3 linked regions of the Arabidopsis thaliana genome follow. The protein of the gene in region 2 interacts with the protein of the main gene of each other region in a pairwise test. Each region holds a gene or a part of one and is shown on either strand. Other genes may lie near its edges.

Evidence for each region.
Region 1: the proteins of CHR5 (region 2) and ASIL2 interact in binary tests that used the Arabidopsis thaliana proteins (3 or more experiments, as listed by UniProt).
Region 3: the proteins of CHR5 (region 2) and HAG1 interact in a two-hybrid assay, tested with the Arabidopsis thaliana proteins (one study listed by BioGRID).

The regions. Positions count from the first base shown.
Region 1 is NC_003074.8:4,704,657-4,712,732, reverse strand, and holds ASIL2 (sequence-specific DNA binding transcription factor), read left to right. Parts: upstream 1-3,556; 5' UTR 3,557-4,111; coding exon 4,112-5,443; 3' UTR 5,444-5,931; downstream 5,932-8,076. Other genes in the region: AT3G14190 (uncharacterized protein), read right to left, coding at 943-1,137, 1,270-1,313, 1,400-1,675, 1,760-1,826; AT3G14172 (GPI-anchored adhesin-like protein), read left to right, coding at 7,960-8,018. UniProt on the Arabidopsis thaliana protein: Transcription regulator that may repress the maturation program during early embryogenesis.
Region 2 is NC_003071.7:5,551,721-5,559,801, forward strand, and holds the start of CHR5 (chromatin remodeling 5), read right to left. Parts: upstream 4,841-8,081; 5' UTR 4,485-4,840; exon of another isoform or gene 4,079-4,484; intron 3,907-4,078; 5' UTR 3,824-3,906; coding exon 3,079-3,823; intron 2,924-3,078; coding exon 2,856-2,923; intron 2,637-2,855; coding exon 2,217-2,636; intron 1,844-2,216; coding exon 1,619-1,843; intron 1,509-1,618; coding exon 1,425-1,508; intron 1,132-1,424; coding exon 1,072-1,131; intron 944-1,071; coding exon 840-943; intron 672-839; coding exon 620-671; intron 291-619; coding exon 227-290; intron 1-226. UniProt on the Arabidopsis thaliana protein: DNA-binding helicase that specifically binds to the promoter of target genes, leading to chromatin remodeling, possibly by promoting deposition of histone H3.3. Probable chromatin remodeling factor.
Region 3 is NC_003074.8:20,209,597-20,219,798, reverse strand, and holds HAG1 (histone acetyltransferase of the GNAT family 1), read right to left. Parts: upstream 6,394-10,202; 5' UTR 6,207-6,393; coding exon 5,574-6,206; intron 5,487-5,573; coding exon 5,422-5,486; intron 5,313-5,421; coding exon 5,232-5,312; intron 5,133-5,231; coding exon 5,061-5,132; intron 4,817-5,060; coding exon 4,648-4,816; intron 4,378-4,647; coding exon 4,334-4,377; intron 4,089-4,333; coding exon 3,989-4,088; intron 3,590-3,988; coding exon 3,521-3,589; intron 3,437-3,520; coding exon 3,382-3,436; intron 3,153-3,381; coding exon 3,034-3,152; intron 2,925-3,033; coding exon 2,831-2,924; intron 2,719-2,830; coding exon 2,577-2,718; intron 2,488-2,576; coding exon 2,424-2,487; 3' UTR 2,146-2,423; downstream 1-2,145. Other genes in the region: BZIP25 (basic leucine zipper 25), read left to right, coding at 21-81, 548-734, 1,010-1,085, 1,190-1,315, 1,409-1,714; DJ1F (Class I glutamine amidotransferase-like superfamily protein), read right to left, coding at 6,923-7,102, 7,409-7,774, 7,868-8,341, 8,572-8,751.

The sequences.
Region 1 (8,076 bases), on a different chromosome or scaffold from region 2:
GAATCTTCTTATTTTTATTTTTGTTTCTCCTGTGCTGTCATTGAATTGTTGTCTCCTAAAAGCAAGAATCGTTAAAGATCATTGAGATCGATGAAATCAATTGCTTTATGTTGATCAAACACAGTTCCTTCTATATTCTTATTAGTTATTGATTGTCTCAGCATTTGATTACATAAAAATTTACATTATTTTTTGTTCCATTTTGGTCGAACCTTTCTTATCTTACCAACCATTAGAGAGTGAGAAATAATTGCTTCTGAGACTTGAATCAAAATCTGAACAACGAGTGGTGATCCAAAACGATGGCATTTCAGGAAAAGAGTTGCTTCTGAGACTGAATTAGAATCTGAACTTGAACTTTCTGCTTACTCAGTTGACGACAGTAAACTACCATTATTGCTGCCACCGCGGGTAAAAGTGGATGAGATGGAGCTTGGAGAGGTGGCAATGGCAATAGTTGGATTTGCAGCAAGTTATGAAAAGGTGGTATAAAGCTTAAACAAGTGGTGGAGCTGGAGAAGGAGAAGAAGGAGCTTGAGTTGCAGAAAATGCAGTCCTTTAAAGCTCAATTAGAGGTGTTACGGAACAGTCGCGAGGATAGAGACAGTGAGAGAAGAGTCAGAAGTCACCAATAGTGTCAAGGATAACGGCAATGTAAGTTCACAGTTGAAGAGATGAATGTTTGTAAAAGTGAATTCTGATGATGTTTAGGATTGTGGCTTGAAACATGACAGTGTAAATCGAAACTTCAGATTCTGAATATGGCACAAATTTGATGAATAGTCAAAATACTTGAAAAGATACCAACTTTATTTCCTGAAACCAGTTACAAAGTGATAGACACAGAGTGATTCATGAAGAGCTGAACAAAAGATAAACGCCACTACTACTATTACTACTTCATCTGAAGGATGAATTTTGAAGACATTAAGAAACAGAAACTCAGAAGAGGTCGTCAGAGTCTTCTTTAAGTGTGAATTCGCATGAATCGAACCGCCAAGCCAGAGGAGTGGAAGGCATCATAGAGCCATGACGGATTGGAGAGCGCCATGGAGTCGAGTTCTTCAGCCAATCAGAAAACTTGGGCGATGCCATCTCTTCTGGTTCTTCGTAAGTCAGATCGTCCTTAGCATCCATCTGAAACCAAAAACACATAGGATAGAGTCATAAAAAGTGTCACTTTAAGTTCCAAAACTAGATTAAAGATGCAGTCTCACCAAAATCTCCATCAAAGACAGAGAGATAGACATTGTTTTTTAAGTACAGTACCTTTTCAATGTCCCAATTGAGATGCTTCTCCTTGATGCTGGAACCTGCAAGTACAAAAGATCAAGTTTAGCACAAGCTTACTCGCAAAGATTGGTTAAACATCATAGCTTAGAAGATCTAAATACAATACCATGATGAAGTAGCATGAGATCAGCAGAGTAGTGATCATCCCAAAGATTTTGCTGTTCTTTGATGCATTTGCTGTGATCATGTAAAAACCTTTCCCCAGCTATATCAATCTCTTTCACAGCAGCAGAAGCAATTTGCTTGTTCTTTGAAGAAGCAGCAGCTTTCGCATGAATCCCAGACTTGTTTGTAATATCATTCAGAGCCTTACGAGCTCCTCCAGGTTTCTTCTGACCAAGTACAGTCCCTTTGGATTTCACAGAAGCAGCAGTGACAGACTCTGTAAATAATAGCCAAGAAAGAAAATGTTAAATCTTTGTTTCAAAGCAATATGATTTAAAGAGAGTAGAGAAAGATTAACTACTTTTGCGATGAATTGGAGCGTTCTCGTCTGGGAAGATCATTTGTTGAAGAGCGTTCATGTTCGCCATATGGTTTTAACTGTGAATCATCAAAGAACCAATTGCAGAAACGAAGATTTGATTCCAGAACTGACGATTTTAAGCAATTAGAAACCCTAAAAAAGGTAACAGAAACCCAACTCGAAATCGAAACAAAGATCGTTTTTTTCACAAAACCCAATTCGATCCTCAAGCAAATTTAACACCACAGACCCCAGAAACCCAGAACGAATCAAGTAGCGACATACGAAAAGAAGAACAAACAATCGCAAGAAGAACAGTCTATAATGTGAACCTAAATCAGAAGGAAGAAAGAGATTACCTTTGTAAAAGTGAAGAAGTTTCTTGGTGAGATTCTTGTTGGAAGAGAAGTGTATAAGAAGATGAAGAAGAGCGCTTAGAGTGTTTAACGGTAACTTTTCAATGTTGTTCTGACGAAATAATGAAGAACCTCCGGGATTAGGCCAAAAAAAGTAAATTTATAGAAGAAGAGAAAAAGTTTCTAGCCGTTGGCAGAATATTTTAATGCAGGCCTAATCAAGAATTGGCCCAGGTACAGGCCCATCACATAAATCAAATTGACGGCATCAAACTATCATGTAAGATAGAAGCAAAACATGTCACACTTCTCTAAGTTATCTTCTTATCGGCTAGATTTATCATCATCCTTGATTAAATCTCCTTAATTTTGGAAGGTTAAATTATAGGTAAAGTGTATATAATTAGTCTAACCAAGGATATTCAACGCTTCTCGTTCCTGTTCCTTATATAAAACCATTATCCTCACATAAAGAAGACTTAACAAAAAAAAAACTCTTTTCAAAACACATTAGAGACAATTAACAAGAAAAACCCTTCTAATAATTTGATCAGAGATATGGGTTTTTCGCACAAGTTGTGGGATGAAACTTTGGCCGGTCCAACGCCGGAAAATGGTCTCGGGAAGTTGAGAAACCACATATCCGGTGAAAGTGCCAACCGGAAGTTGATGGTGGATCTGAAACGTGTCCCGAATTCTCCTGACCGTTCAAGCAACCCCGTTTCCCCTTTGACTCTTATGTTACCTTTTTTAAAAATCCTTTCTGATCCACTTTTTTTTTATCTTCTATGCTTGTGTTATGAGCAGTTAAAACCCTATATATTCATGTAAATTAAAGACTTTGCAAGGTGATACATATGTTCATAGTCATTATAAGCTTTTTTTTATTATTTTTTTTTTTTATTTTGACATCCATAATCATTATTAGCTTGAGAGTATTATGGATTTGTAAATTAATGATTACCAAAATCATTTGTATGCAGCTGGAACACCAAGTGAAACACATGCTACAAGTCTCAATGCTTGCGATTGGTTTGATCTCCCTCTCTTTTCTTTCCTCTCAAACTATACTTCATTTTATCCAACGCATTATCGCTTTCATTAGTACCACCATATCTAATTAACGTCCGGTAATACTGCAGGATTGTGCTAAACGCATTGGACCGTTGAAAAATATTACAAGGTATTTCTACGAGAAGAAGAAGTATCCCAAACTACTTTTCTTTGTATATATATATTTGCTGTGTACATAACATAATGGTCGCTTTTGGTGTTTTGAGATTTGAGAAATATTAAATTTCTGTTTGTTTCACAATTCACGAAGATTATATAAGGTCTTTTTGAAACATAGTATTTCTGGAATGTTTAAAGTTGTATCTTTGACAATGGTGAAAAGAAAAAATGATACTAAGTGATAACATGCTAACGTAGCGTATGGAAAGCCCAATAAAAACCCATGCCCAAAGTAAATAACATCCACGTCACCGTTCTTATTGTTAAAAGAGAGACTAATTCGAATCGATTTAACGAATGAAGCAAGACAACGAAGGAAGACAACTGGAAACTATCGACGGACTAAAAAAAGTCTACGACCGATATTGAAACTGACGGTTAGGCTAAGGGTAATTTCGGTACATCACCGGAAAAATGGTTCACGGGGATAGTTCCGGTAATTATAGTAAAACTAGATGGGCTTTTCCGTCAATACACTTCCTCATCGGATTACGAAGAAATGGGGAAATTACGATACAAACCCATCTTTTACCCCTAAACCGAGCCGGCAACTTTACCGGTGACGGAATCTTACCTCTGACCTACCAATCACGTCATTCCACGTCATCTCCCCGTATCTTCTCACGTCCTTCCACGTGTCCCCTCTACTCACCGACGCCGTCTCCTTCCCGTTTACCCCTCCCGAACAGAATATTAACCCAAACCCTAACCCTATCTCCCTCTTTCACGAGCTTCTGACTCAGATCCGGCGATATCGAATTCCATGGAGGACGATGAAGACATCCGATCTCAGGGTTCCGATTCACCTGATCCGTCTTCCTCCCCGCCGGCGGGACGAATCACGGTTACGGTGGCTTCGGCAGGTCCGCCTTCTTATTCTCTGACTCCTCCGGGTAATTCGTCGCAGAAGGATCCGGATGCGTTGGCTCTGGCGCTGCTTCCGATTCAGGCCAGCGGTGGAGGGAATAACAGCAGTGGGAGACCAACCGGCGGCGGCGGGAGGGAGGATTGTTGGAGCGAAGCAGCTACGGCTGTGTTGATTGATGCGTGGGGTGAGAGATACTTGGAGCTTAGCAGAGGGAATCTGAAGCAGAAGCACTGGAAAGAGGTGGCTGAGATTGTGAGCAGCAGAGAGGATTACGGTAAAATTCCCAAAACTGATATACAGTGTAAGAATAGGATCGATACGGTGAAGAAGAAGTATAAACAAGAGAAGGTGAGAATCGCTAACGGCGGTGGCCGTAGCAGATGGGTGTTCTTCGACAAGCTTGACCGTCTGATTGGATCAACGGCGAAGATCCCGACGGCAACTTCTGGAGTCAGCGGTCCTGTCGGAGGATTGCATAAGATTCCTATGGGTATTCCAATGGGAAGTCGTTCGAATCTGTACCATCAGCAAGCTAAGGCTGCAACACCGCCTTTCAATAATCTTGACCGGTTAATTGGAGCTACGGCTAGAGTCTCAGCTGCTTCTTTCGGTGGCAGTGGTGGAGGAGGCGGAGGAGGATCTGTCAATGTACCTATGGGAATTCCGATGAGTAGCCGTTCAGCTCCGTTTGGACAGCAAGGGAGGACTCTGCCACAGCAAGGTAGGACACTGCCACAGCAACAGCAGCAAGGGATGATGGTGAAAAGGTGTAGTGAGTCGAAACGCTGGCGTTTCAGGAAGAGGAACGCTTCTGATTCAGACTCGGAATCTGAAGCAGCAATGTCAGATGATTCCGGTGACAGTTTACCACCTCCTCCTCTGTCGAAGAGGATGAAGACGGAGGAGAAGAAGAAGCAAGATGGTGATGGAGTGGGGAACAAATGGAGGGAGCTGACTCGGGCAATCATGAGATTCGGTGAAGCTTATGAGCAAACAGAGAATGCGAAACTGCAACAGGTGGTTGAGATGGAGAAAGAGAGGATGAAGTTCTTGAAGGAGCTTGAGTTGCAGAGAATGCAGTTCTTTGTGAAGACTCAATTGGAGATATCACAACTTAAGCAGCAACATGGGAGGAGAATGGGAAACACCAGTAATGATCATCATCACAGCCGCAAGAACAACATCAATGCGATTGTCAACAACAACAACGATTTGGGTAATAACTAGAATTTAGTGATGCAGTGTCGTAATTGATATATTTTAGATTTGAGTCTTTAATTGTTGAAAGAGAAACTGAAACTTATCTAGGCTTCATGAGTGTATTAATATTTTGCATATCTTTCTTAACTTTGGTCATATGGAACAGATTTAACTTCACTAGATTGCCTGAGATCATTCTGCTGCAGACTCTTGTGCACGTTTTTGAACTTCTCTTAATCTCTGAGTTAGATTGTGTTTCACTAGTTAGGTTAGAACATGGCATAGGACATTTTTGACACAATCCAACCGCAAAATCTTAAAGCTATGTTTGGTTATTATGACATTGGAGATTTGCATGTGTACCTAAAAGCATTTTTTTAACTCTTTTTCTTTTGAGTAATTGTTTGAGCTAGATTTTCTTGTGTCTGAAGCATCATTCAAACCACCAATGATGATCTTCTATAAAAGAAGAATGTTAGGCAAGAAACCTTTTCGTTGGTCTGTTTATTTATTTTTCTATGATGTTTGCCTTTTGGCATTTTATAGGTACTAAACAAATGACAGTCAATTCAAATTCATTACACATAGATGTTTCTCACAATTTTACCTTCCGCACTAAGCTAATATTCATGTATCGAAAGGTGAATCATGATATTTGAGTAAAAATACCATCTTCCGAGTCCCACCGTAACATCATTCTAACTTGCACTATTCTTATTTTTTTTTGAAACGAATACAATAATGAAAACGTAAGAAATAAAGCATCTTGAAATCTTCTGAATTTTGTTTTTGTTTTAGGTAGAAAAGAGTTTGATTCCAAAGGTCCACGTGTGTTTAGACATATAGATTAGATATTATCTAATGATATATTGGTATCACTAGGATTACTAATCAAGATTTTTCCTTAGTAAAGTTCAAAATAAAGTTTTTTTTTTCAAAATAAAGTTTTTTTTTGGAACTAAATCTAGCAATAAAAGTAGTGATTACTAAAGAAATAGTAAATTATTAATGTAACAAATGAATATTCTTTTTTTTTTTTTAAAGTGGGCAAGAAAAGATACCAAAAAGAAAGAAAGAATTGGGTAGGATTTAAAGCCATGTCTCCATTATAAATATATAGTTAGGGTCAATTGTCCATTAAAATTAAAGAAGAATAAAGAGTGATATCCTATAATTAGATATTTTTTCAGGGGGTCCATCATTTGATTTAAAGTGTCTCCAAAAGTTGGAATAAAAATGGTTGGTGTTAATATTATTAATTTTCAGTAGAGTAGAATAAGCTCTAATTTAAATACTTCTTTTTGTCAGCATCTATTTAGTACAGTGTTTATTTAACATAATATACATTTTGCACATAGAGATTTTACTCTAAAACAGCGAATCGTTGTTACTCTTAACGTTAAATATTTGGATCTGAAAGGCAAAGTACCAATATACCCATTTGTTCCTTGGCCCATCTGTGGGTAAGAGACTAATTTACCCCTCCAATTTATATACTTCACAGCAATAAATTCGAAGAATAAAAGGGTATTATGGGTAACTAACGAAAGCCGTTTAGGATTCGGCGAGACCTGTTTCCGGAATTTCGTAATTACTGCCGACTTTCTTTGATTTTTGTTTAATTTAATATTTCAAATTTTACGCTCTATTACTCTCTTTTTTTTTTTGTTTTGTCATCGTATACGCTACTTCACGTCAACAAAAATGGTGATTTTTGTCTGAAGAACGTTTATTTCTTTCTCTTGATTTCACTTTCTCTCTCTAAAGTAGATTTTTGACAAAGATAGATTACGGCGGAAGGAAGGAGACACACAATGATGGGAGAGATATTGAATCCATCAGCGGAAGTGAAATTAATTACGAAGTTGACTTGAGAGTTTTGAGTGAAGCCAAAAACAGAAGAAAACAATCTTCATTGTTAGGGTTTTAATAAGCTTTAAGAAGAGGATGCTGAATATAGAAAGCAGAGAAAGAATCTCGACAATGATAGTAACTATTCGAATGTGAATCTGAAAGAGACTGATTCATCGGAAACAGACGAAGATCTCATTTTGTTTCTATTCTCAGGTATGGTCTGATCCGAGCAGGACTTCACTTGAATTTCAATGGCGTTTTGTTTCCTTATTGGATTTGGGATTTTACTTTATGTCTTGAATTTGAATTCGAATCATGGGTCTTCGAGGATTCGTCCTTATTGGGCGTGAATCAGTTTTCTTAGTGATTGGGTTTTCAAATTTCCATGATCGGAATCAGATCTAGCAATGTGTTTGATTCTGTGATTTGTGTTGGGGTTTCTATTATTGTGATGTTGGTTTAGTTGGGTTAAATTGAATCCGTGTATGGACACTGCTTTTATGTATTTACTGATGATACTTCTATTGTTTAGTCACGTTTCTCTTTGATTTTCTCTGGACGCTTCAAATTCCTATAGCATTTACGTTTAGAGACGAACTTTGTTTTGCTTTTTACTTAGGATAAGCTTTTAATGCTGTCTTTGGGTATGTGAAGGGGGAAGACTGAAAATTTTGTGTAAAGGGGTCAAGATGAGACCAGCTATACCTCTTGATTATGCTGTCTTCCAACTCTCTCCAAAGCGGTCAAGGTATTAAAATCAGAGAGTGAATTCTTCATTTTTGTGTTAGTTGGTTTTTTAGATACTC
Region 2 (8,081 bases):
TTTTTATGTGAATGAATAAAAGACAAAGACAAAGATGCTGGTCAGTTTATAATCAAATTTTACATATAACTTTTGGATTCGAGAGACGAAGAATGCAGAGACCAAACTATAAAGAACCAGTTCACAAGGTTAGGCAGTTTCTCTAATGAAGAGTATTTTTCTTGTCTGCTTTCCATATAACGTGAAACAAAGAAAACTACAAAACTATTGATTTTATGTAACAAACCTTTTCCTTTTGTACGCTGCTGTTCCACCATTTTCCCTTGCACTGCAATTGAAACTTCACGAGCCTGAATCATAGATAGAAATTACATCAAGCATTAAAGCAACTTAGGTTTTTTAATCATCTGATTCTGCAGAAACAGACCCATGTATATACTAGTCTAAGTATAATAGCACTGTTAAATATTCTGAAAAAAGTTTCTTAATATTTGATAAGCATTTGTATTTCCTTTTAGAATATTCTTGTGTTACAAAACAAGATGTAAACTACAGAATTTAATACCAATATTCTTATTACTACTAAAAAGATGGAAAAATATAGAGTTGGACAAAGAGTTACAAATTAAAAGCCAAATGGTAAATTCAAGCAGAATTATAACAAAAAAAAAAACTCTACCTTGTACTCATCAATAGCAACTTGTGCAAATGCTATATCGACATCCTTCTCCCTAAAGAAAAAAGACAGGAAGAAAATGATACTTGAGGGGTGATAGATACATAATTACAAATTGTAAATCATCTTATAGCATGCTTCTCAATTTATGAAACAACACAATCACTATAAAAAAAAGAAGGAAACAAGTAATAATATCCATTGAGAGTGTTAGAGAATATACCAAGTTGCTTCAGCATAAGATAGCCCTTGCCACTTTACTAGATACTCTGGTACAACATCACCTAAACCATCTTTGCTTATTCGATCTGCAATTATTCTTTCTACCTAAATAACATAAACAAATTAGCTCAGAGGAGGAATAATCTAATAAAAATTGCAAAAGCAATAGATGTAAACAGCAGCAGATGAGACGTGAAATGAGATTGCAAATTTGATGGAACGAAAACACTAACCTGACTATTCTGCTTAATGATGTCCAGATCCATTTCTTTGCTCACATCGTTGACCTCAATCTAAAAGGTTAAAAAATATATCAAGTGAAAGAATTTCAGATTTATATACCATAACAACAACTCTGGCAGATCTATTTGATATATTCCAATGCATACTATGGCAGCACATGTTCAATATGATAATGCCTAAATATAAACAAAAAGTTAGTATCTTACGTGGTAAACATGGTTTCACAAGCTAAATAAGAAATATAACCATGTTGTGAACCATCAGAGTAGCATCTCATGGCATTCTTCCTTGTACATATAAGGATAATAAAAAGCAGAAAATCTTCCAGACATTCAAACATTACCTCCTCTCGCGAGAGTGCTGTCCTGTACCTAATCTCCTCCGTCACTTTCTTTGTATAGTTAAGAACCTTCTTGAATCCACTAAGCTGTAAGAACACACAACATAGGTAAAGAAACAATAAAAATTAGCATTATCTAAAATATATGCAATACATTGATCAAAATTAAAATTAAAAAAGGAGTCCAAAGGACGTACATTTTGGAGATCACTCAACGTTTTCCACTGACAATGCAAGTGTGATTGGCCTTTCCATTTTATAAGGAATTCCATTTCATTCCAATCTGGCTCAGTATCAAACAGTTGGCTTACTAGAACAGGAACTGTTGATTTGTTATTTGTCTGAACATCTTCACCCATACCCTTCAGCTGATGCCAGAGCACTTTTTCAATAACATCAGCATCCTCCTCTTCAATGTCATCCTAACGAGCATATATCAGATAAAAGGGAATAACATAACAAAAAAGTTCATTAAGTAGCTGGGCAAGGCTTCTAAAGAAATTGCTTTCATTCTAGGCCAAGTAGTTGAAATTAATGGCTGCTCTAGGTCAAATAGTTGGAGTTAATCAAATCAAAAGACCGTAAGTTCTCCAAATTTAACATGTTTCCAACAGAAAGATAATATGTACGACGTGCAGATTATAACTATAGCAATGAGTTATTTAGACCGCTTTAGAGAAGGCTCATGAAACTACTGCCAGTCTCTATCAAATGTATTAGATTCCCACACGATAACATAAGCAAGTTGAGGGTGTAAAAATGTATAACCTTAAAAAATGTAACAAGATATCATACCTTTTGGTTTTTACGATTTTTCCCATCATCTATATCTTCACTGTCTTCACTCTCTACATAAGAGACTTTACGAACTGATCGGGTGGAGCTGCGAACTTCACTACTCTGTCCTATGGTATTGGTGGACCTTCCATTGTTTTGTCGGAGAGTTGTGCCTCTTCTGGCCAGGCTTCTAAAACCCTCATCATTGTCATTTTCAGAGTCTTCCTCTGAGTCGTCATCTTGATATGATGTTTTCCTCTTTTGTCGACTAGAAACATGGAATGATTTTCGTTCGAGTCCAGCGCTTGATTTCCGGAAACCTTTACTTTGTTGCCTAACCTTGGGCTTTTTTGTTCCGTAGTCGTCCTCGTAATCGGAAAGATCAATTTCTTCATCACTCTCAGGGTCTTCATCAGAAACGTCCCAACCTTGGCCATGCTAAAATCAAACAACCACACAGTTGTAACATGTAAGAAATCCCATCAAAACTATAACAAGTAACAAGCTAGAACACAACATGTTAACTATAAATGAAGATCCTTCCGAATAGCAAACTTAGTTAAGAAATGGTTCAGAAAGTATCTCCCTTCTTTTGTTCAGTTTTAGCTTCATTGTGATGAACATGTATCCCAACACAAGAATTGTAAGAAGTCAAACCTTTTTACTTGCACCACCATCATCAGCAGCATCATAGGGCTCAAAGTCAGCATCTTCAGGGTCATCCTCTGATGAGAAATAAGATCAAATGTTACTGAAGTTCAAACCAAGCACTTGACGTGGGAAGTATTCAGAGGAAAAAACATAGACGTAAGTTCTAGTACTGCGTACAAACAAACAACAGAGTCAAATCTATTTAGGAATCCAAATTAAAAGAGTTTACCATCTTCCTCCTCTTCATAGTCCATATCAGCATCCCCATTGTGGTCATGATTACTATCACTATAGTGAATGTTTTTGTGAATTGCTCTTGAAGTCCTTGAGTTGCTATGGACAGCAGATCCTGCCTTTGGCAGTGATCTAGAATTTGTAGGATTACTATACCCTTTGTAGTGCACATGGTCGCTTTGATTATCTTCATCTTGTTCATAATATTCATCAGACAACATTTCATCTGCTGGGACATCAGCTTGACCACTTTGATGCTTGTTCATTTCATTATCCTCCTCCTCATTTTCATTATCATTTTCATTTTCAGAATCTAACTTTTCACTCCGGTCATTTGAGTGATTATCTTCACTATGATATGCTTCTTTGTAACCGGATTGTGAATCTTTGGCAGGATCAGAACCCTCTCTTTGTCCCATTGGCTGACAATCTTTCCAAAATGTGGAACCCCATCTACCAGTTACACCCAATCTCTTTGTCGAAGATTGATAATGGGAATCCACAGGATCAGCTACATTATCAACTGCTGTCTCATTTGGCTGCCTAATACTACATCCTGGTTCTGGGTCACTTTGATACTGTACGTCCATGTTCATGTCAAAGCCTCTTTCACTATAAGTACCATCCACATCTTCATTCAAAGGTGAACTCTGAAAAGTAGCAGCATTTTGCCGCTCCTCATTTTCATCAAGAACATTATGTGACACAGTATCGTTTGAGTAGTTCCTAAAGAAAGCCATCTCGTCTCATGAAATCAGCAATTAAAGTAAGCGCTCTCCTTGCAGTCGACAACAGCCACAATTCTTCTAACGTCTCAGTAGAACTAAGAAAAAGAAGAAGACGAATGAGTTAATAACCTGCATCAAAATGATACTAAAAAAATTCGATAAAAACCACACTTCACACTTAGTTATTGATTAACAGGAAAATAAGAGAAGCAAAGCATTGTTTCAACTGAAAATTAAGATTATTCCAGAATTCCAGGAGCACGTAACATGAATTGATTTCTCCTCTCCATCAATGCCACAACAAAGCAGATCTAACGGAAGCTACTCTGCTCTTCAATTGAGCAAACAACAAGACGAGGATAAAAGTCTAAGCAATCAACAAACTCAATTCAGTGGAACGAAACGATAAACGAATTGAAAGCAGATCCACACGATTAAAACACGAAATCGAATCCTAAAGCCCTCTAAATCTCGAATTGTTAGGATAAACGAACCCTAGAATTAGGTATACGAATAGAGAAGTTTCCCAGAGAAGAAGCACAAAGGAAGAGCTATAGAGAAGAAGCTATTAAAACACAGTCACATAAGAGATGATAAACTCTGGAGAAAATTCACGCTAAGAGTTTTGACAAACTTTGATTTGAAAAATCAAACACGCTTCTAAAAATCTCACCGGAGAATCTAATCCTTCGAAATCGAATTCAAACAGAAACTGGAAAAAAGAGTCTGAAATTCGTAACGTTTATTTGGGATTATCGGAAGTTTTGTATCGGAGTTAAAAGAGAGAAAACGGATTCTGGTGATGATAGATCGTAATTGAGAAGACGGAGAAGGTCGGCGAGGTAAAGGAAAGACGATCACCGGAGAGCGTTGGTTTTGGATGGGATCGTCGGCTGCGAGAGAAGGCGAGAGGTCTCGGGGAGATTTTGAAGTGAGAGAAAAAAAAAAGCGTTTGGAGAAAAGAGAGATTGGGTTATCGGACGATTAATAATATTTGGTTGATGAGATTGTGGTTTTGGTTTTGGTTTTCTCTATAATGGAATTATGGACTGCTGCTTATTTTTTATTTTTTTAAGGGTAGGCATGAGATATTTTACTTAGGGTTAGGGTTAAACTTTTGAATTTCCAGACCACAAAAAGATAAAACTATATGAATTAGAATATAATTATTTGAAAGAAACAAATTAGGTTGCATGGTGACATATACCAACTGAAAATATATATGATCACACCAAAAATTATAAACAACTAGGAATTGATCAGCGATATATTACAGGATAATATGTTTTCTAAAATTAGTGGATTTTAAAATTTTATAATTATGTAATATATATAAAAGTTTGTAAATTGTATTAATGATATTTTTATTTTATAGTTTACAAGGATCACTAATTCTTTTTGATGAAGAAGCATCCAAAGTGATCAAGATTAGGGTTCTTCACTACATGTTTCAGTTTATTATGGACAACTCATGGCATATCTATGTTAGTCCAAAAGCTCTTTGAAAATTATTTATCTACAAATTTTGAGTTTAGTGATGCAGATGCAGGTAATACTTTCAAATCATTCATGGATGGAAGAGCGAGCGAGCTTTTGGCATTGGAGGTCAAATACTAGATGAAACTCGATCAAGAATGAACCCAGATTCTCCTGAAGCTCAAGCATGTCTTATGATTGGACCAGAGCCGGATATAAGCAACCAGAATTCCTTCGAGATAATAAAGAAGAATTAGAAGATATTGATAGTGACGTGTCATCAATGAGATCAGAAGATAGTGATTAAAGTTTATTTGTTATTACTTGTTTTAGTTAGTTTAGTAAACATCATTGGGAATTTAATGAAAAAAACCCTCAACTTTGGCCAGATCCATTTTTAAACCCTAAACTATGTTTTTAGTAAAACAAACCCTGAACTAAAACCTGTTAATAAACTTAACCCCACAGTATTAAATATTAATGGGATATTAATTTCCAAAAAAAACAACAACGAGACATTTGTATTTAGCGCAAAAACCACATGATGTTCTTTAAAACTGTTTTGAATTTATTACAAAAAAAACGTTTAGTGTTCTAAATGATTTTGAATTGCTTAATTAGTTTGGATTTTAGAAGCTGAAAGAAAGACACAACAACTTAAAATAATCCAAAGAGTCATGCTTAAATAAATCCAACCAACATAACTATCGAAGCTGTTGCAACACAACAATATTTGTCACAAAAAAAAACAATCGTTTCAGAGGGACAAGATATTCTAAAGTAAAGACTTGTCAAGCATTAACTTTGAAGAGAAGATTGTATTGGTTGAGTGATAGGGTTCTCTTCATCCATTGTTTTCTGTTTTTTCCTTGGTCGTCCTTGAGGTTTCTTGGGTGGTTTTGGCACTGCTTTACGCTTGCATGAACGTTTGTTGTGTCCGACTTGTTGACAGTTGCTGCAAGTCTAAATATGCAAAGATTAAATTAAATAATTTGAAAAGGAAGATCTTGTCAAACATAATTCATTGTTCTCTATTTTACCATAATTATATCAATGTTAAGTTTATTAACAGGTTTAAGTTTATTACTGTGGGGTTAAGTTTATTAACAGGTTTTAGTTCAGGGTTTGTTTTACTAAAAACATAGTTCAGGGTTTAAAAATGGATCTGGCCAAAGTTGAGGTTTTTTTTCATTAAATTCCCAACATCATTATACCACGGGTTAATGTTTTATTCATATATATAATAATATTAAATTTTAAAGTTTTTAATTTAGTATTAAAGTTATATAATTTTATATTAATGTTGTAACTAAAAAAATTGGTAATGATAAAATAATAAAATAAATATTTAACCAGTGTTATATTAGTCTAAACCCGTCCCGAAATATTTCATATCAATCCAAATCTGTCCGGTCTCATGATATTTTTTTTAAAATTTTAAATAATAATAATGTTTTATAAAGTTAAAAATATATCAACAATATTAAAAAATAATAAAAAAAAATTACTTTAATGTGATGACATTCTTTGTAAATTCTTACTTTACTAACACAAAAGTACTATAAAAAGGTACTTCAAAAAATTTAATATATATAATGCTATTTTTTGTAAAACAACTATTATATATAAATACGTAGTTTAATCATAATTCTAGATTGATATACTTGTGTTTTTTACTAACTTTATTATTATTTCAATAGCCTAAATTTGGGCATTTTGTTAATATTATTTGAGTCAGCAATATTAGCTTAATACGTGCACAGTTTATTTTTGCTAGAAAAAAAAAATTTTAATAAAAATCAGAAAAGAAAGTTTTAGGAAGTGATAATTATTTTGTACAATTGCAAATTTAAAACAGAAAATGTGGATTGGGAAATAATTAGGGTTTCAAATTTTTAAAATGTTACGTAATTAAAAATTTTTAATAAAAATATTGAAGCATATATTGTAATATAAGATTTGATTCATTTTATTAACTGAAAATAAATATTTAAAACAAAAATTCAGGGTGATTAATGTTGGTGTCGGATCCCGCACCATGGATTCGGATCCAGCCAAAGATTGCGGCACAAGTAGAAGAAGCCCATAAGAGGGAGGGCCCATAAGCATCCTCGAGGTGAGAGTATGGGCGAGATGTTGGTTTGCGAGGTGAAGGCAGCATCGAAGTCAGGATTACTCGAATTGGAGAAACCGAATGGGCCGAGAGGTGAGGTCCAGAAGGCCCGGAGTGGACTCGGTTTAAACGTTCAAATAGTTAATTCAAAGACTAAAAACGGATATATTTAAAGTATAATGATTGTGAGTAAATAGGTATTAAATGTATTCTTTGGGTATAAATTGTGGGTCAAAGACCATGTAAAGACACACGCATTTCTTGGTGCAAATTAGCTATACACATTCTTTTACAATACTCATAGTTTTCTCTATGATCATTTATCTATTTTCTAGTATATTTGTCCTCAAGAATAATCCTACCCACTAAATAAATAAATACTTGAGTGTGTGAATCCGACATTCACATTTTGTCGCCGTCTGTGGGGACGGATGATTCTTGAGTCATCAGCTTTTTTCTGTGTGTTACATACCCGAAGTGATCCGCAATGTCAGGAGAGGATACTACCAACGCTTCGATAGCCGAAACCCTCAAGACCATGCAACAAACTATGGCCGATATGGCGCAGAAGTTTTCAAACGTGGAAAAAACTGTCGAAACACTGCAAACAACCCAGGTATCGCTTAGCCAAAATGTTAGTACTATTTAGTCTCGTGTCCGTTCTTTAAATACAGGAAATTC
Region 3 (10,202 bases), on a different chromosome or scaffold from region 2:
TTTGATATGATTTTCTTCAGGTGGGAACTGTGAAACCGGAAGATTCGAGTGCTTCAGCTAGCAATCAAAAACAAGCTCAAGGTCACGTATCGTTGCTTTGTTTTGGTTTTGGTTTTTTGACTCTCTCTAGCTTTGTCTCTCGTCAATGTCAATGTTTAGATTACATAGAGAGCAAACATTTCATCGAGATTTGTTTGTCAATTTGATTAGACAATTAATTAACTGCTAATCTCTCTCAGTAAACTCAAGACTTTAAGGGAATTTGAAGATAAGTAGGCTTTGTTTTGGAGATGACAGCTTTCTCTGTGTTCATTCATATTTAATTCTGTTCTAGTCGAGTCAATTTTTTCTCTGAGAAGAAAGAAACAAGGCATACGTAGTATTATGCGTTTAGATGAGAATTCTTAGCCTTTTGACTCTCCATTCTTATTAGTGTAAGTTAGTGCATTATACTAGATAGCTTTCTTATTTCCCGCTTCTTGTGATATGTACCTGGATGAAATGTTTTTCAGTTAGTGGATAATGGGATTATTTTGAAATTATCTAGGCTCCATTGTGGCACAAACCTCACCTGGTGCTTCATCTGTTAGATTTTCTCCCACAACAAGCACGCAAAAGAAACCTGATGTTCCAGCCAGACAAACTAGTATTTCATCACGAGATGATTCTGATGACGATGATCTTGATGGAGACGCAGATAATGGAGATCCTACTGATGTGAAGCGTGCTAGGAGGTACAAATCTTGATTTTTGTACCTTAGAATGTTTCTGGTAATCGTTCTGAATCTCGAGGCTGATAGATATAGACATGCTTTTGGGAAAAGGCTTGTACCTAATAGTTTCTACTTTCTACTCTCTCTAAAGAGAAAGAAAGAACTGAAATCTAGTAGAGGAATGTTTCAGTCAATTTTATGTTGTGACTGTTGTTCTTAGGAAACAGTCAGGCTCTATATATTTAACTTTTTCGAAGGTCATCCTGATTCATTTTTTTTTTTTTGTAATTACCCAGGATGCTCTCAAACCGAGAATCCGCTAGGCGCTCTAGGAGAAGAAAGCAAGAACAAATGAATGAATTTGATACACAGGTTCGGTCTTTTATTAGTTGCTCATACATTTATACATTTCTCGAGTCTTTCTTACTTTTCAACAGTCTTCAGGGGTTTATAGGTAAAGTTTTTACCAATTGTAGGTAGGCCAATTAAGAGCCGAGCATTCAACTTTAATTAATCGTCTTAGTGACATGAATCATAAGTATGATGCAGCTGCTGTTGACAACAGAATTCTAAGAGCTGATATCGAAACTTTGAGAACAAAGGTACTCTTGTGACTCACGAGTGTTAAGAATTTAAAACACCCAAGATTATGATTTAATAACTAAGTTAATTGCATTGATAAAAAACCTGTGCAGGTTAAGATGGCAGAGGAAACTGTGAAAAGAGTGACAGGAGTGAACCCTTTGCATTGGTCAAGACCAAACATGGGCATACCATTCAGCAACACACCGAGTGCTTCCTCTAGTATTCCGCCAAACTCTAACCACATTTTGAAACCAGCAAATTCAAGTACCAACACCAGTGCTGGTTTAGCACAAAATCAGAGAGTGGAGACGGCAAATTTCTTGCCGGAACAGGTGAACCGTGAAGGCATGCAGAATCCATTTGCTCCTGATTCTAATCTGTATGAAACCCTACCCCATTGGAATCACAAGCATTAACCAGAAAAAGAGTCATTGGTTTTGTGATTTTGATTGAGGTAACTATTGTCTGTATTTTTATTTACTGTATGACTCAGCGACGGTAAACTCTTAATATTATATATATGATTGGACATGATGGAAGAATGTATAAGCTATCGTGCTTCTAAGGCAAATCGAAGTTGAAATGGTCGTAGACGTAATCACGTAAACATGTGCAGCAGCGTAAGCGTATAAACACAAATGTATCAATAGTTACTTATGGCAAACGTAACCGTTTTAACGAAATGTTGAGCAACAACAACTCACATTCATCAGATTAAAGAAATCTGTGCAGCGTAAGCGTGAGTGTAAGCGTGTAAACACAAATGACCCATGACGCTCATTCTCTTCACCATTGTTGATCCGATCAAAACCACCGAAACTGGTGATCCCGTTCGATATCAAAATTTGGTTATGTGATTTTCATCAGAAACATTTAGTAAAATGAAATGTGTCTTTACAGTTGGAAATAAGCTTTATAGAACAAATTTAACCTACAAAGTAAAAACTTAAACATTCTGAATCTAACTAAATCAAATATTTACCTATCCGAAAAAAAAACATACAAACAATTAAGCTCCAGTATACATGGGCCTAAAATAGTATACATGTATTCCCAGTTCCAATGAAAGTATCTTAAAATGAAAGATCTAGAAAATGATATTAATATAACCTCTACCATCTTCTTCTATTGAGATTTAGCACCAGATTGGAGACCTGCTTGTACTTTGCTATGGAAGTGTGTTTCCAACCTTTTAAGAGAAAGAAAAACAAAGTAAATGCACTATTTCATTACTGAATAAGAAGAGAAGAAATGAAATGAAAGAAAAAAACGTCTTACCTGGTTGCACATTTGTAATAAATGGTATCGGGGGAGTTGTAAGTTCTACAATTGTTAAACATCCGTCTCGCATCCGCAACAAACATATCCAATGTCACGTAATACTGTTCCGACTCTACCCTCTTTGCAATTACCTTCAGATCTGTGTTCAAACCATTTTTTGGTTACCAAAGTGATTTAACACTTCTACTTAAAAAGAGGACAAATTCTGGATAATTAATAGCGAAATTGATATTTTAACTATATCTTCTTACCAATGGGATCCTTAATGATGTCATAGTAATCAGGGACATCGCGAGAATCCACTGGTTCTTTGAAAGGCCAAGCATCAGCATGGTCTTGCATTGTCTGTAGCAATTAACTACAGCTTGTCAAATTAAAGGGCATGTAATTGCAATAACATAATATGTAAGAGGACATAATAATTAATAACAAAACAAAAAAGATTTATCACAACCTTTAAAAGCGCACGCATGAGTGCATTCAACTGTTTTTGATTTGTCACCATATCAGCAGAACCATTGAATAATTTGAAACGAGTGTGCCCCCACTGATCTGGGGTCCAACCAGCTTCCCCTGCAACAGTATACCATAATTCATGAATTAGCCAATTCATGTATTACAGATAAACCCTTAGCCCACAGCTAACAAATGCAGGAGAATCTCAAACATGCATATCAACTTGATCTCATGGAGCGACTAGCACAATCTTAATTTTGAGATGACTAGAACATTTTAAAGGGAGATATGTCTATATTTTGGGTAAGAAACTGCAATAACACCATCAAGTAGAATCATAACTTACTTAAGCCACGTATTTCCTCAACTTTGATAATCTTTCTAGGAATTCCAGCTTCATTCTGCAAAAATCATCTCATTTATTATTACTACTGGAAACATTGTATACAATAATAGCCACAAGACATGAAACCATTGATGTTTACCTTTAGAAACTCAATTTTTGGATACACATTCTGACAGTTTGATAACTCTCTTATCCTTTCATCAATTGCCTGATATTATAAAAGTACAACCGGATCAGAAACTGATACGTATAATTAGACAGAAATGTAACAATGGTTACTCGTTTAGTGTTACGTTGCTATGCTCTCTTGAAAGCAGATAGCTTTTGGGAGGGCAGCTTGATTTTTGGGCTCATAGGGGAAGACAGGAATTTCCATTAATTAATTCCTCGAGAGAGAGAAGAGAGGAACTTTCAATAATCGAATCCTCAAGTTTGTATTTCTTATGTTTTTAATTTTTTTCAGAATCAGCCATAATGCTAGAGTTAAATAGTGAAAGTAAAGAAAGTAAACAAATAGCTTCGTAACCTGAAGAACTATTTGGGTATAGATGAACCTGAAGGCTCGAGATATTTTTTCACCACATAAAAGGTATTTTCAAAGGCTTACCTTTCTTTGCTGGCGTATCATGCTTGACAAATCCGTATATGGCAGCTTTGGATCAATTTTGCATTCCATAAGGAGACCACCATCATAGTCTTTAATGAACCTAAGAAAATTTCAAAGGTTTTTATTTGCAAAAGTAAGTTTCAAGATGAAGAAGAGAATGATAAAGACAAGTTTTAAATAGCTCTCTCGTAGCATAATCAGCCACGCAATAAAATGCTTGTATTCTAAGGTTTGTGAGCTTAATTGGGCCAACAAATATTTAAGTTAGACATCATACAGATAAAGCACAGAAGTTAAGAATGGTAAATGAGCAGTTTGAACTTAAGAGATACATAGTTTCCATACCCATGCCATACATCTTTCTCCAAGTAAATCTCTTTAGTAAAACCCTGCACAAGATAATAGACGTAACAGATCAACTTAGTGGACGACTGTAAGAATATAAAAATTACAGTTAGAATCCAGAAAGTAGACTTGATAGCTAAGTGTGGAAACAGAACTTTTAGAAGTGAAACTCTGAGGTATCTCCTATTAACCAATAGAAAACATTACATCCAAAACACAGTTCAACTACTTTTCTGGAATGTACTACAGTTGGTCGAAGTTTGTTGAGAGATTAAAAATAGAGCAAAAAATTGCACAATATACGAAACACCAACCTGCTTGACGAAGTAACCAACAGCATTGTTGTCAGCATAAGTAAGAAAATGCGTCAATCCATCAACATCACGTGCATGTTGTTTCAAGTGGTTCATCAATCTGGTACCGTAACCTTTTACTTGTTCATCTGCTGTGATTGCACAAAATGCTATTTCCCCAAACTTCTGACTGAATCCCAGGGAAACAATGGAGTTAATAAGCATGTCAAGACTGTATTCATGCTCATTATGACATCAGACAGTTTCAGAAATATTCTATAGGAAAAGTAAGCTGTGTTTGATGATAATATAAGATAACAAGTCAACATGCTACTCTCTAAACAGCAAAAAGCTGTATAAGCGTATTCACATACATATGGTGGAGAAAATCATCACTGGGTCAAAAGATGGGAAGAGTTATGCGAAAACCTTACCTGTGATATGGACGATACGTGATACCACCTACAACTAGATTCCCTCTTAGTACCATAACAGACTTATGTTTCCTGGGCAAATAACATAAGTTACAGATATTAGAATGCTTACCATTTGCGATTGTTTGTTACAAAAATTGTCAATGTTTCACTTTAGTTTAGCATGTTTACCTATCCATCAGAAGACGAACAATGTACTCCTTGGGCATATTAGGTAACTGTCTTGCAAAAATGTTCTTCAACCCAATCAAGCTGGAATACATTCAACAAATTATTCATAAAAAACGAGGTTAGAACGAAGAATGCATAGCTGATTAGAAGCTAAATTCAATGGCAGGAGACAAATGATGGAAGGCATTACCACATCATATGCTCATCAATGGAATCATTTGAGTAACAAACAAATTTGAGTCGTCCTGCTTGCTCCTAAATGAAAGATATCACCAAATTTGTCAATGGCGATTCTCTGAACTCATCTAGTAATTCATTAGCATAGATCCAGTGATAAGCTACCTCTCTTTTCAAAGCCTCTTCTCTGGCAATGTAAGCTCCGCTAGTCTGGAAATTCTCAGCCAATACCTTAACAGACTCATCCTTTGGCACGAGCCCTGAGATTGAGCTTCCTCCAACAGTGCCACTCACACCAGTCCCAACCACAGATGATCCACCATCTTTTCCACCATCAGAGCTCTCAAGCTTCACCGTGGAGCTTTCCGTCTTAAGTTTAGTGTTGCGACTCGAACCGTTGACTCCAGAGCTGGAATCGAGTCGAGCGGCGGTGAATGTGCGGATAGAAGAGTCCTGGTCCTGTTCAGGAGCAAATTCGTCCTCGTCATCATCCACGACTATATCCTCTGATTCATCAGGATCTGAATCTGTATCGGCGCCGCGAGCGGAGATGCTCTCGAGTTCATCGTTGGAGGTTAAAGCGCCGTCGCGAGTATCGGCAGAGAAGGAGGAAGGAGGGAAAGAGGAAGAAGGAGGGGCGTGATCTTCAGAAGCGGCTGCATTCGCTGCCGTGGTGGCGGCGAGTTTGCGTTTGTGGAGAGAAGAAGTGACGGAGGCGGAGGCGGAATGAGAAGGAGAAGGAGTCTGAGAACTGCGGGAACGATTGGCGGCGTTGAGGTGGGAAGAGTGAGAGTCCATCGAAGCAGTATAGTGAAGGTGATTGAGAAAATCGTGACGAAATCGAGAGTCTAGGGTTTTTGCTCAGATAATTTGGGGGCGGGAAAGACTACGCCGACGAACGGAATATTCTGGCATCGTTTTTTTTTTTTTGTTTTATTGATCCAACAAATTTTAAACCGAAACTAATTCGGTAATTGTAATTCCTATGAGTAAATTTATGCAGTGATTAAAATGTGATTAACTATATTGGTCGGATATAAACAGTACAATTCGTCGGTAAATTATTTAAAAGTTCAGTATACTTTTTGGATGAACATTAACGTCTTTAATCCGTTTATGTGTTGTTTTATTTTATAGTATGTTGTTAAATTTAACTTCACAAAATTTAATGTGTTTGGAATCTGTTACTAGTATTTAACAAGGAAACACAATTTGCTGGTGACAGATTTTGCTATCTCTAATCAACTTTAGTCTTGAAGTAGTGTTACAACATAAATGGTCAATAGAGCTTGTTTACCAAATGTAAAACGAGGAGAATGACAACTTGATAGTGGTAATTTCTTATAAAAAAACACAATTAGAAGAGGTGTAAGCAAGTGTGGCAACTCTTCTTCCCATATATATATGCAAATCCAAGCTTGTACATAAATAATTAGAGGGACGACCTTATATTTCGACATACAAAGATATGTTTTTATTTTTTTAGGCATTAGACGTTAAAGCACCACTTGACATTAGAATACAACAGAGAGACCAAGTGCAGTCGACAATGCATACAAAAAGGCAGGAAGATCGGAAGTTGATGCGGCTGTGACCAGCTTGTCGTCGGTCACGCACCGTTCAGATTCCACGATCTCACCACCAGCAACCTTCACAGCCACCTTTGTCCCATAACTACTTGCACATCTCTTCTTCTGCAATGTAATAATATAGCATGCCACAATGGGAATTAGATGAGTTATAACAAGCTGGCAAAAATTATAATCTATGCTAAGGAAGTGGTGCCATAAATGTGATGAATTATATCTTACTAACCTTCAACAATATGCTGGAATAATATTAGTCATAACCATAACCATAGGAGATTCCTATGTGCTTAGAGCAACTTATCTTGACATTTTTGTTTCGTTTAAATTAAAATATGGTTTGGTTCGGCTTCAGTTTTAACTTTTAAGTCTTTAGAATAGTAAAACGAATTTTTGTAAAACGGTGTATATTACCTTAAGGGCGCCTGTGGCGGCAAGTAGCCAATTTCCCATTCCAATGGCAGCAACAAACTTGCCTTTCTCAACAAACTTTCTGACCAATTCGACGGCCTTGGGGTTCATCACCAAGAGCTCCGGAGATCTTCCTCCGGGAACCACAATGCAGTCGTAATCATCCACAGAGACATCATCCCACGCAACGGTCACATAGAAGTTGTGACCAAACTTCTCAGTAGGAAGTTGCCGTCCGTCTTCAAGGTCGTGTACGATTGTAGCGCATTTCTCACCTCTCTTCTTGGTTGGCGTCACTGCATCCACTTTACATCCCAAAGCTTGAAACGCTTTAAATGGTACGTTGATACTATAATCTTCAACACAATCCTAAATATACCAAAATTACGTATTAGTCAGACCATTTTTTTAATTCCAATATATAAAGTCTAAAAGAGAGTCTTATGAAAATAAGCTACTTACCCCAATCAAGAAAAGCAAAGAAGTCTGATGATTCTCTTTAGAGCTAGAAATCTTGGAGCCAAGTGATTCTAACAAAACTTTGAGACTATGGCCAAGCGTTGGCCACCCCATAGTGGACATGAAACTGCCGTCCTTGACACAATCAGTGATTTCGAAAAGGGTCTGGACTCCAGGCTGTTGCCACCATGCGCCGCCGGAGAGCTCGATAAACGGTTTCATGCTTTCGAACGCCGTGCACTTCATTCCACCGGTGAGCAGACCTGCCGCCGCAAGAAACAGCTGGCTGTGGCAGCTCGTGAAGATGAGCTTCTTGAGTTCGGCGAATCTAGCAACAAGACTCACGCATTTCTCGTCGGCGCTCAAAAGTTCCGTGAAACGTCCACCGGGAATGATGATGGCGTCGTATTGGTCGGGGATGACGCCATCGAAGTTAGCGTTTAGTGTTAGATGGTCAACCACCAGTTCGGTGTATATCTGTAAAAAGGTAAAAGTCAAATTGAAACTCTTCTTTTTTACTGTTAAGAGTAGGCCCATGCATTTTGGGTTGAGACCACCCAATTATCTAAACTTTTTGGATAAAGATAATAAAGGGGAAAGTCCACCCAATTATGAGCATTTGATCGCATTGTTTTACTAAATATGCAAAGAACGATTGCAAGGGAAAAAAACTGAAATGAAGAAAAAGTGAAAGATTCGAGAAATGCCTCGAGGCCAAGGAGATCGTGAGCGGCCATGACGCACTTGTCGCCAGTTTTGCGACCAGGAGAAACGCAGTGGACGCTAACACCAAACGCTTGGAGGACGTAGAGAGGTACTATAGTCTCGTAGGCTTCCATGAACTCTCCGCATAACATCAAAACCGATTTCTGAGCCATTGATCCCATTGTTTTTTCTTAAGACAAGCACACACAACTAGTGTGTATATATATGAGTTCAAATTATCACAGTGTACTTTTTTTTTCTCCAATAAAAAAAGAGATAAGGTTATATATATAAGTGGATACGTTGCTCTATTTGGAGATTATTAAAAAATAATTTATAGAAAACTACAACAATTTCTATTTCGTTCAAAAAATATAAAGTGGTTTAGTTCGCGATTAGACTAGTTTGCTACGTCTACTCTCACCATTTAAAATTGAAGAGAGTTAAAATAAACACGTGTTAATTGCAAATTCCCTACGCACACCAACCTCTCACCTACTTGACATCTTCTTATGCATAACCCGGGAAGCCAAATAAAAACGGTAAGGCCAGATTAAGTGGGGATGACAAAGAAGTAATTGTAAAAAAAGTTTGTTGCCTCAGAGCCAGCAAAATAAAAAAACGTATTAAGATTTGTTTTCTTAACAAAATTAAAATTGAAAACAAATCTTAAACAATTAATGAAGAAAAGTAAATTACAAGGCTTGCATTTTATGTAAATGGCAGAGTGCATGCAGCAATGAAACTACTTTATTAAAACAATAAAACTTAATATATTCTTAGTTAATTTATATATACATTTCTTCTATTTTTAAAAAAAAATACAGTGTACTCCAAACTTTATCAGAATGGTCGAAAATAATCAATTACCATATGATTAAAAGAACATATAGAATTTGGAAACATTAATCAAAAAAATTATTTTAAGCATATTGTTGGATTTCTTTAAATTGAACGGTAAAAATATTCAACATAGTAAATGATAAATGTGACATGTAGTGATTTTATGTTTTATAGCTTCTCTAATTCTCTCTTATCTTGTTTAGTTCTTTGTGTCACAAGAGACATGCAACGGAAATGATGTAACTCTATAGTCTATGAGTTGGGTTGGGTCGATTAGCCTCATGGACTGCTAAAACCATTCGAAAGCAGACATTTACACTTATTGCATAACGCTTCAAGGTAATTGGAGGGAGACCGGTTTTCAATGTCAAAATGGTCGAATCACCAATCCAGCCATCATGATTCCACAAGTGTGTAACAGTCAAAACATATATATAAGAGTTACTAACGTAGAAACCTTATCATAAATAAAAAAAAGAGGGGAAAATGGTAGTATTCATGGTATAATTAGTAGCCTGCTTATGGATTGAAATTCTACCCTAAGAAGATTTATTAATTGTAGTGCGCTTGCGACATATAAAAATATAGAATTCAAAAACCTAATCATATCATATGCTAACATATTTGTGAGCGTTGAACATCTTGCAGCTTGGAAACAAGCTTCCCTAAAAGAAGAGTCCATAATTTCTGTCACACCTCCAACGTTTAATCTAGATCCCCCTATCTTGATCTCTGTTTAATGCGCCTTGGCATGAAGATGGCTCTGAGCGGATATAGTTGGGTTCTAGTG